2 linked regions of the Macaca mulatta genome follow. The protein of the gene in region 1 interacts with the protein of each later gene in a pairwise test. Links are inferred from orthologs where the notes say so. Each region holds a gene or a part of one and is shown in the gene's direction. Other genes may lie near its edges.

Region 1 (4,155 bases):
GTATTATTTCCACTGTCTTTATTATTTTAAAAATTATTATTTTAAAGATGGAGAAAATAAAATGCATAGATTTTAAATATTCTCTGTTTTCTTCCTAATACATGAAACTTCTTGTCCTTTCCTTTGCCTTTTAAACTTTGTTAAGGTTGTGCCTTTTGCCGCCTCCTTTCTTCCCTCTCCGTGTGTTTATGCTTCTTTCCAGGCCAATATAAAATGTCATCTTCCTTTTGAAAATTCTGTGTCCCTTCAAATTAGAATGACTCCTCAACCCCCATCAAACTTAGTTTTTATTTCATTTATAGTACTACTTTCTGCCTTCATTATTATTTGCCTACATGTCTTGTCTTTTATAAAGTTTGAATATCTGAAGAGCAGGATCTGTATCCTGAAGACCTCTTGTATCTAGTACAGAACAAGATACCTAAACTTAGATGGGTGGATAGATGAGTAGGTAGGAGGATAGATGCATGGAAAATGTGTATTTTCTGATCTAATGTTTTGCAGATTACCTAAAGCTAATCATCACAATTTTCTAAGTCTGTGGATGATTCCTAGGGCCCCAAACATGACACAGTAAACTCTATGACATGATGAAAAAAAAAAAAACAGCCTCCACACTTTTGCTTACATGGTTTTCTTTGCTTAAAGTACCTTTATCCCTCAGTCCTTCATTTCTTTATCTTAGGAGTGAAACTGCTTTTGGGAAGCCTTCCCCAAGTCTGTTAGGTGGAATCTATCATTCCATCCACTGTACTCCAGCAGAACATTATGTGGACCTGCATGTCACACTTACTCCTTTTACTGTGCGTAATTCTCCTGTGCTTTTCTGTTAGTGTAAACTGTAAGTTGTAAAACTCACCAAATATGAAAGTAATCATTAGCATTTATTAAAGTATACTACTTCCCTGGTGCTATATACTAAGCACATCATATTTATCTTGTTATTTAGCCCTTACAATAACCATTATTCTACAATAATAGATTGTTCTACAATAATAGAATAAGGTAGACACCATTTTTCTATTTTACAGATGAGTGATGGGGAAAGAGCTTTTGGAAGTTTGAGTTACTTCCTTATGGTCATGCAACTAAGTAAGTGTCTGAGATTCCAGAATCTGAATTATTACCCTCTATGCAGTGTTTTGTCTTGTTTGTTTCCCTGTCACCCTCACATGACACATAATAGACCTCAATAAAATAGTTAAGTAAGTGAATGACTGAACGACTGATCATAGCTATTCTCTAAATGTTTCTTGAGTGAATTGATTTATATAATCAGAGGAAAATGAATAATGGTTTCTTTTTCTCTTTAGCAGGAATTTTACCCTCTAGGGCATGAATACTGTGCTGTTCAGTTCTGAGCTGTGCTAGCAGTACCCTTCAAAGGAATAGCAATGGCTGCAGCAGCAGCTTCTCACCTGAACCTGGATGCCCTCCGGGAAGTGCTAGAATGCCCCATCTGCATGGAGTCCTTCACAGAAGAGCAGCTGCGTCCCAAGCTCCTGCACTGTGGCCATACCATCTGCCGCCAGTGCCTGGAGAAGCTATTGGCCAGTAGCATCAATGGTGTCCGCTGTCCCTTTTGCAGCAAGATTACCCGCATAACCAGCTTGACCCAGCTGACAGACAATCTGACAGTGCTAAAGATCATTGATACAGCTGGGCTCAGCGAGGCTGTGGGGCTGCTCATGTGTCGGTCCTGTGGGCGGCGTCTGCCCCGGCAGTTCTGCCGGAGCTGTGGTTTGGTGTTATGTGAGCCCTGCCGGGAGGCAGACCATCAGCCTCCTGGCCACTGTACACTCCCTGTCAAAGAAGCCGCTGAGGAGCGGCGTCGGGACTTTGGAGAGAAGTTGACTCGTCTGCGGGAACTTATGGGGGAGCTGCAGCGGCGGAAGGTAGCCTTGGAAGGTGTCTCCAAGGACCTTCAGGCAAGGTATAAAGCAGTTCTCCAGGAGTATGGACACGAGGAACGCAGGGTCCAGGATGAGCTGGCTCGCTCTCGGAAATTCTTCACAGGCTCTTTGGCTGAAGTTGAGAAGTCCAATAGTCAAGTGGTAGAGGAGCAGAGTTACCTTCTTAACATTGCAGAGGTGCAGGCTGTGTCTCGCTGTGACTACTTCCTGGCCAAGATCAAGCAAGCAGATGTAGCACTCCTGGAGGAGACAGCTGATGAGGAGGAGCCAGAGCTTACTGCCAGCTTACCTCGGGAGCTCACCCTGCAAGATGTGGAGCTCCTTAAGGTAGGTCATGTTGGCCCCCTCCAAATTGGGCAAGCTGTTAAGAAGCCCCGGACAGTTAACATGGAAGATTCCTGGGCCATGGAGGCGGCAGCCTCTGCTGCTTCTACCTCTGTTACATTTAGAGAGATGGACATGAGCCCGGAGGAAGTGGTTGCCAGCCCTAGGGCCTCACCTGCTAAACAGCGGGGTCCTGAGGCAGCCTCCAATATCCAGCAGTGCCTCTTTCTCAAGAAGATGGGGGCCAAAGGCAGCACTCCAGGAATGTTCAATCTACCAGTCAGTCTCTACGTGACCAGTCAAGGTGAAGTGCTAGTTGCTGACCGTGGTAACTATCGTATACAAGTCTTTACCCGCAAAGGCTTTTTGAAGGAAATCCGCCGCAGCCCCAGTGGCATTGATAGCTTTGTGCTAAGCTTTCTTGGGGCGGATCTACCCAACCTCACTCCTCTCTCAGTGGCAATGAACTGCCAGGGGCTGATTGGTGTGACTGACAGCTATGATAACTCCCTCAAGGTATATACCTTGGATGGCCACTGTGTGGCCTGTCACAGGAGCCAGCTGAGCAAACCATGGGGTATCACAGCCCTGCCATCTGGCCAGTTTGTAGTAACTGATGTGGAAGGTGGAAAGCTTTGGTGTTTCACAGTTGATCGAGGATCAGGGGTGGTCAAATACAGCTGCCTGTGCAGTGCTGTGCGGCCCAAATTTGTCACCTGTGATGCTGAGGGCACCGTCTACTTCACCCAGGGCTTAGGCCTCAATCTGGAGAATCGACAGAATGAGCACCACCTGGAAGGTGGCTTTTCCATTGGTTCTGTAGGTCCCGATGGGCAGCTGGGTCGCCAGATTAGCCACTTCTTCTCGGAGAATGAGGATTTCCGCTGCATTGCTGGCATGTGTGTGGATGCTCGTGGTGATCTCATTGTGGCTGACAGTAGTCGCAAGGAAATTCTCCATTTTCCTAAGGGTGGGGGCTATAGTGTCCTTATTCGAGAGGGACTTACTTGTCCGGTGGGCATAGCCCTCACTCCTAAGGGGCAGCTGCTGGTCTTGGACTGTTGGGATCATTGCATCAAGATCTACAGCTACCATCTGAGAAGATACTCCACCCCATAGGGGATGAGAAATATCATTTTCTTCTGCTCCCAAGCCAGCTTCCCTTCCCATAGTTCTTGGTTGTTAGTGGCACATAGAGAATAGACTCGGCATATGTCCTGATTCCAGCTGGGTAGTTCTAGAACTTTAGAAGCTCCATCTTTTTATGTTTTTTATTTGTTATTTTCCCCTCCCCACTTCCCACCTAAATTTAGAGCTTTAAAAGATGCACTGCCCAAATAGGACACGCAATGGTGTTAGCTGAAGTTTGATTAGCAATTAGGCACTTCCAAGGCTTTAGTAGAGAGAGCCACTTTAGCCCTTTGTGCCATGTTTGAAATGTGCCCTTGTATTAAATCCTTGATTTTTTCCCGTTTGGCTCTGATGCCCTTGATCCATTGTTTCCTTCCTATTACAATGTGCTTCATCTGTGACACTTTCTCTTCAACTCTGATTGGATTCACTGTGCATGCTTCAGTGGGATATGCTCCACCTTTCAGTGACATTTCAGACATATTCCTGTAACATTATGTCTCAGTCTGATCGTCTTTACCAGTGTGAAAGCTCATTCATTTAGTGCTACCAAAGGGGATACACAGGCCCTTTAGGAAGCAGTACCTCTCGCCTGGAGGATCTGTGCCATCTTGGATTGAGAACTGCAGATGTGACAGAATGGATTGACCCTAGTTGGTTGGTATTGACGACTTCAGCCTGGAAATTGCTTGCCTTTTAAAGAAGCATAATATGGATTGGAATTATGCCAAAGCATAGGAAGCTAGGAATAAGCAAACAAATGCTGATATAGTCAGCAAACTTGGAT
Region 2 (3,991 bases), on another chromosome or scaffold:
AGACATGAAAAAACATGGAACATTCTCGAATCCACAAATAGTAAGAGAGGGCTAAGTCGCTGTGTCGGGGAGAGGAGAAGTGAAGTTCAAATGGTAGGCAAAGGCCAGTGGGCAAGGGCCTTGTAAATTGCACTTGAATTTTATTCTATAGGCAAAAGGAAGAGTTTAAGGGTTTCAAGAAGGACATGACCAATGGGCTTTAGGAAAATCATTCCGATGGCCTTTCCGAGGATGGCTGAGGAAAGCAAGCTGGGAAGCAGGGAGGTTGAGTCAGGGGATTTTGACTAGGCCAGGCTAGGTGCTATGAAGCCCGGGCTTTGGAGAAGAACCAGGAAATGGCAACTGGAGGCAAGAAAGGGGAGAAGGCCAAAGCCTGGGAACCATCAACACTCAAGAACAGTAAAGCATAAACATCTAAAGAGAACAAGAAGGAATAGCCAGAGAAGGAAAACAGGAAAGAACTGAGGCGTGGGAGCGCAGGAGAGAGAATGGTTCGAGAAGGAAGCGGTCGCAGGTGTCAAGGCCGTTGGGAGGTCAAGTGAGATAAGGACTGAAGGTCCTGCCAGTTGGCCCATCAGGAGCACAGGACTTGAGAGCACTTCTGGGTGGGAACAGACCCAGCCTGTGGCAGGGCTCGGGTTTCTGATGGGAATTCTGGAAGGGTCCCTTTTGTTCAACAGTCCAGGGCCCCCCCAAGTCTGACCACGGCAATGCTCCGAACCATGTCACTTTCCTGGCTTAAGGTTCAGTCGCCCTCCTCAGAGGGGAGCCTATGAAAGAGCCCAGTGGAGTGTCAGCATCCTAAGTCCTAGTCCTAGTCCTCTCCCTGCCACTTGGGAGGGACCTTGGGCCTCAGTTTCTCCAGGTGGGCTCCACAATTGCTTCTCTTGACCTGGACTGCCCCAGTGCCCAGGTTCAGTGACTGACACAGGCAGCTGGGTTTCCCCATCCTCTGACATGGGTTCCCTTCACTGCCTTCAGGCATGGCTCGGCACTCCACCCCCAAGGGGCCCATTGTGTGAGCTCAGTTTCAATGGGGACAGAAACTGAGTTGAGAAACGGGAATATTTACCTATTCCGCCGAGCCAATGCCCAAGCAAATAGTGCGGTATCTTACGTAGAGCCCTTGCCCTACCCTTCCCCATCTGGGCGCTGCCGCCTGGAGCATATAAAAAGCACCTTGCTGGGCATGTCTCCTACTAGCCCACCAGTCTCAGAGACGGAATCATTGATGGGCCAGAGCATCCCCCGCCTCCACCATGAAACTTGCTGTCACCCTCCCCCTGGTCACGCTGGCTCTCTACTGCAGCTCCGGTGAGTGCTCAGAGTCCCTTCCCTCCCTCCTGGACTTAGGAACTCTCAGGACCACCCAGTTTTGCTCAGAAGAAGGGGTGAGCTGCCCGTGTCTGCTCTGTAGCCGCTGGGAGGACCTGGGCATGCTGAGTCTCAGAAAACTGGGTCTGGTGAGCAAGTTCATCTTGGGAACTTGGAGAGAGCCCCAGGCTGTGAGGAAGCATAAAAAGGGTCCCATCTTCCATATCCAGCAACCCTCAGAATCCCAGGGAATGGAATAGGCTGGAGGGAGGGGTGGAGGACACCTCATAAAGATGAGTGCATCCAGCATAGGAATAATGAGGCCCTCCTCCCAGACCTGGACACACCCCAAGATGCCGAGAACTTGGTGCAGCCTCCAAGTCTGGGGTCTCCACTCCATGCTGACAGCTGAAGTCACTGGAAGGGGAGCTGCAGGGACTCATGACCCCAAAAGAAACCCAACCCAAGACAAGGTCTCTCATTCTGGGCACAGAAGAATATTCCAGAAAGAGATCTTCCCTTTGGGGAACTGCCAACCCAGAGTGGAGTTTTCTAAACATTTCTGTCCTCTGCAAAAGGGATTAGGAGTCTCTGAGTAGTTGCTGCTGTCATTAAAAGGAAAAGAATTGTGGGGGAAAGAGGGGTGGACAGAGAGAGGGAGAGAGGGAGAGAGGGGAGAAAGGAAGGAAGGAAGGATCACACCTCTCTCCAAGATCCCCCGTCTTTGGAGAACTGGGTTATCTAACTCTGTTTTTCACTCTGCATCAGCCTCTTCCATTCTCGTCTGAAAATGTTGTTGTTGTTTTTTAATAAATAAACTCCAATTAATTCACTTGGAAAGCTTCACAGCACCCATGGAGATAAGTTTTATGACACTGGGGAGTTAGAAAACCCAAACCAAGAAGCAGTAGGAACAACTATTTTGCAGCAAGGCTTATTTGTTTTTCAGAGAAAATGACATCATCTTGGACTGAAATGTGTATTAATTAGATCTCAGTGCTGTCTGCGTACAGAGGTGGGTGGCTGAGCAAGATAGTTCTGAAACATGTTAAGGGGTGGGTCAGATGCATTTCATTTGTCTATTTGTGTGCGCACACATACAATATTTAACACTTCACGCAATGTGACAATCACTGTCACCCTTTCACATAGTATCTCTTTTCTTTTTTCTTTTTTTTGAGATGGAGTCTAGCTCTGTTGCCAGGCTGGAGTGCAGTGGCACACTCTCAGTTCACTCACTGCAACCTCCGCCTCCCGGGCTCAAGCGATTCTCCTGCCTCAGCCTCCCAAGTAGCTGGGATTACAGGCACGCACCACTGTGCCCAGCTAATTTTTGTATTTTTAGTAGAGACAAGGTTTCACCATGTTGGCCAGGATGGTCTCGATCTCTTGACCTCATGATCCGCCCGCCTAGGCCTCCCAAAGTGCTGCGATTAGGCGTGAGCCACTACACCTGGCCTCTCTTTTCATTCTTACAACAACTCTATGAAGTAAGGATACTGGGCCAGGCACAGTGGCTCACGCCTGTAATCCTAGCACTTTGGGAGGCCAACTCATTTGAGGTCAGGAGTTCAGGACCAACCTGGCCAACATGGTGAAACCCTGTCTCTACTAAAAATACAAAAATTAGCCAGCCATGGTGATGCATACCTGTAGTCCCAGCTACTTGGGAGGCTGAGGCAGGAGGATCACTGAACCTGGGAGGCAGAGGTTGCAGTGAGCCGAGACGGCGCCACTGCACTCCAGCCTGGGCAATAGAGCGAGACTCCGTCTCAAAACAAATAAATAAATAAAAATAAAATTAAATTAAAATTTAAAAAATAAAAAATAAAATGAAGTAGGGATATTGTTCCCATTTTACAGATGAGAAAACTGAGCTACGGAAAGACAGAGTGACTTGCCTGGTGACATAGTAAGTTACAAAGCAAGGACCTAAGTTCTGGAGAGGGTCTGACTTAGAGTGGCCCTTTCTAGAGAGGCCCTGGAGTCGGAGGAGGGAAGGCAAATTTGTACGGGAGGCAGAGAATTCAAGGACAAGGGATTTAAGACTCACTGGGAAGATGGAGGCAAGCAGGGGGTAGAAAATGGTGACTTTCCCCCATGTTCCTGATTGTAAGGACCTGAGAAGAAAACACAGTCTTGAAGCTCTGTGTGGAAGGGAATGCAGCGGTACAAGTGGCTGCTCTGTCCATGAGCTGAGTGTGCCACACTTCCCGGCCAGGTTGGGAGGCCCATGTTTGGCTGGTACAATCACAATGGCTTCTTCCTTTTTTTTTTTTTTTTTGAGACAGAGTCTCACTCTGTTGCCCAGACTGGAGTACAGTGACGAGATCTCGGCTCACTGCAACTTCTTCCTCCCGGCTTCAAGTGATTCTCCTGCCTCAGCCTCCCAAGTAGCTAGGATTATAGGCACCCAGCACCATGCCCAGCTAATATTTTGTATTTTTAGTAGAGACAGGGTTTCACCATGTTGGCCAGGCTGGTCTGGAACTCCTGACCTCGTGGTCCGCCCGCCTCGGCCTCCCAAAGTGCTGGGATTACAGGTGTGAGCCACCGCACCCGGCTTACAATCGCTTCTTCCTGCCAGAGCCTGAATTTGTCACATGCCCGCAGTGAAGCATGGCTCAGGGCATCCCTAGCCACTGAGGAGAGGCAAGTTTCCGGCGGGTAACAAAAC

The links.
Region 2: the proteins of TRIM32 (region 1) and SCGB1A1 interact in binary tests that used the Homo sapiens proteins (3 or more experiments, as listed by UniProt). The two-hybrid records come from large-scale screens. The link is inferred for Macaca mulatta from reciprocal best matches to the Homo sapiens genes TRIM32 and SCGB1A1.

What each region holds. Positions count from the first base shown.
Region 1 is NC_133420.1:41,594,639-41,598,793, reverse strand, and holds the start of TRIM32 (E3 ubiquitin-protein ligase TRIM32), read left to right. Parts: upstream 1-1,313; 5' UTR 1,314-1,394; coding exon 1,395-3,356; 3' UTR 3,357-4,155. UniProt on the Homo sapiens protein: E3 ubiquitin ligase that plays a role in various biological processes including neural stem cell differentiation, innate immunity, inflammatory resonse and autophagy.
Region 2 is NC_133419.1:11,645,654-11,649,644, reverse strand, and holds the start of SCGB1A1 (uteroglobin), read left to right. Parts: upstream 1-1,150; 5' UTR 1,151-1,259; coding exon 1,260-1,314; intron 1,315-3,991. UniProt on the Homo sapiens protein: Binds phosphatidylcholine, phosphatidylinositol, polychlorinated biphenyls (PCB) and weakly progesterone, potent inhibitor of phospholipase A2.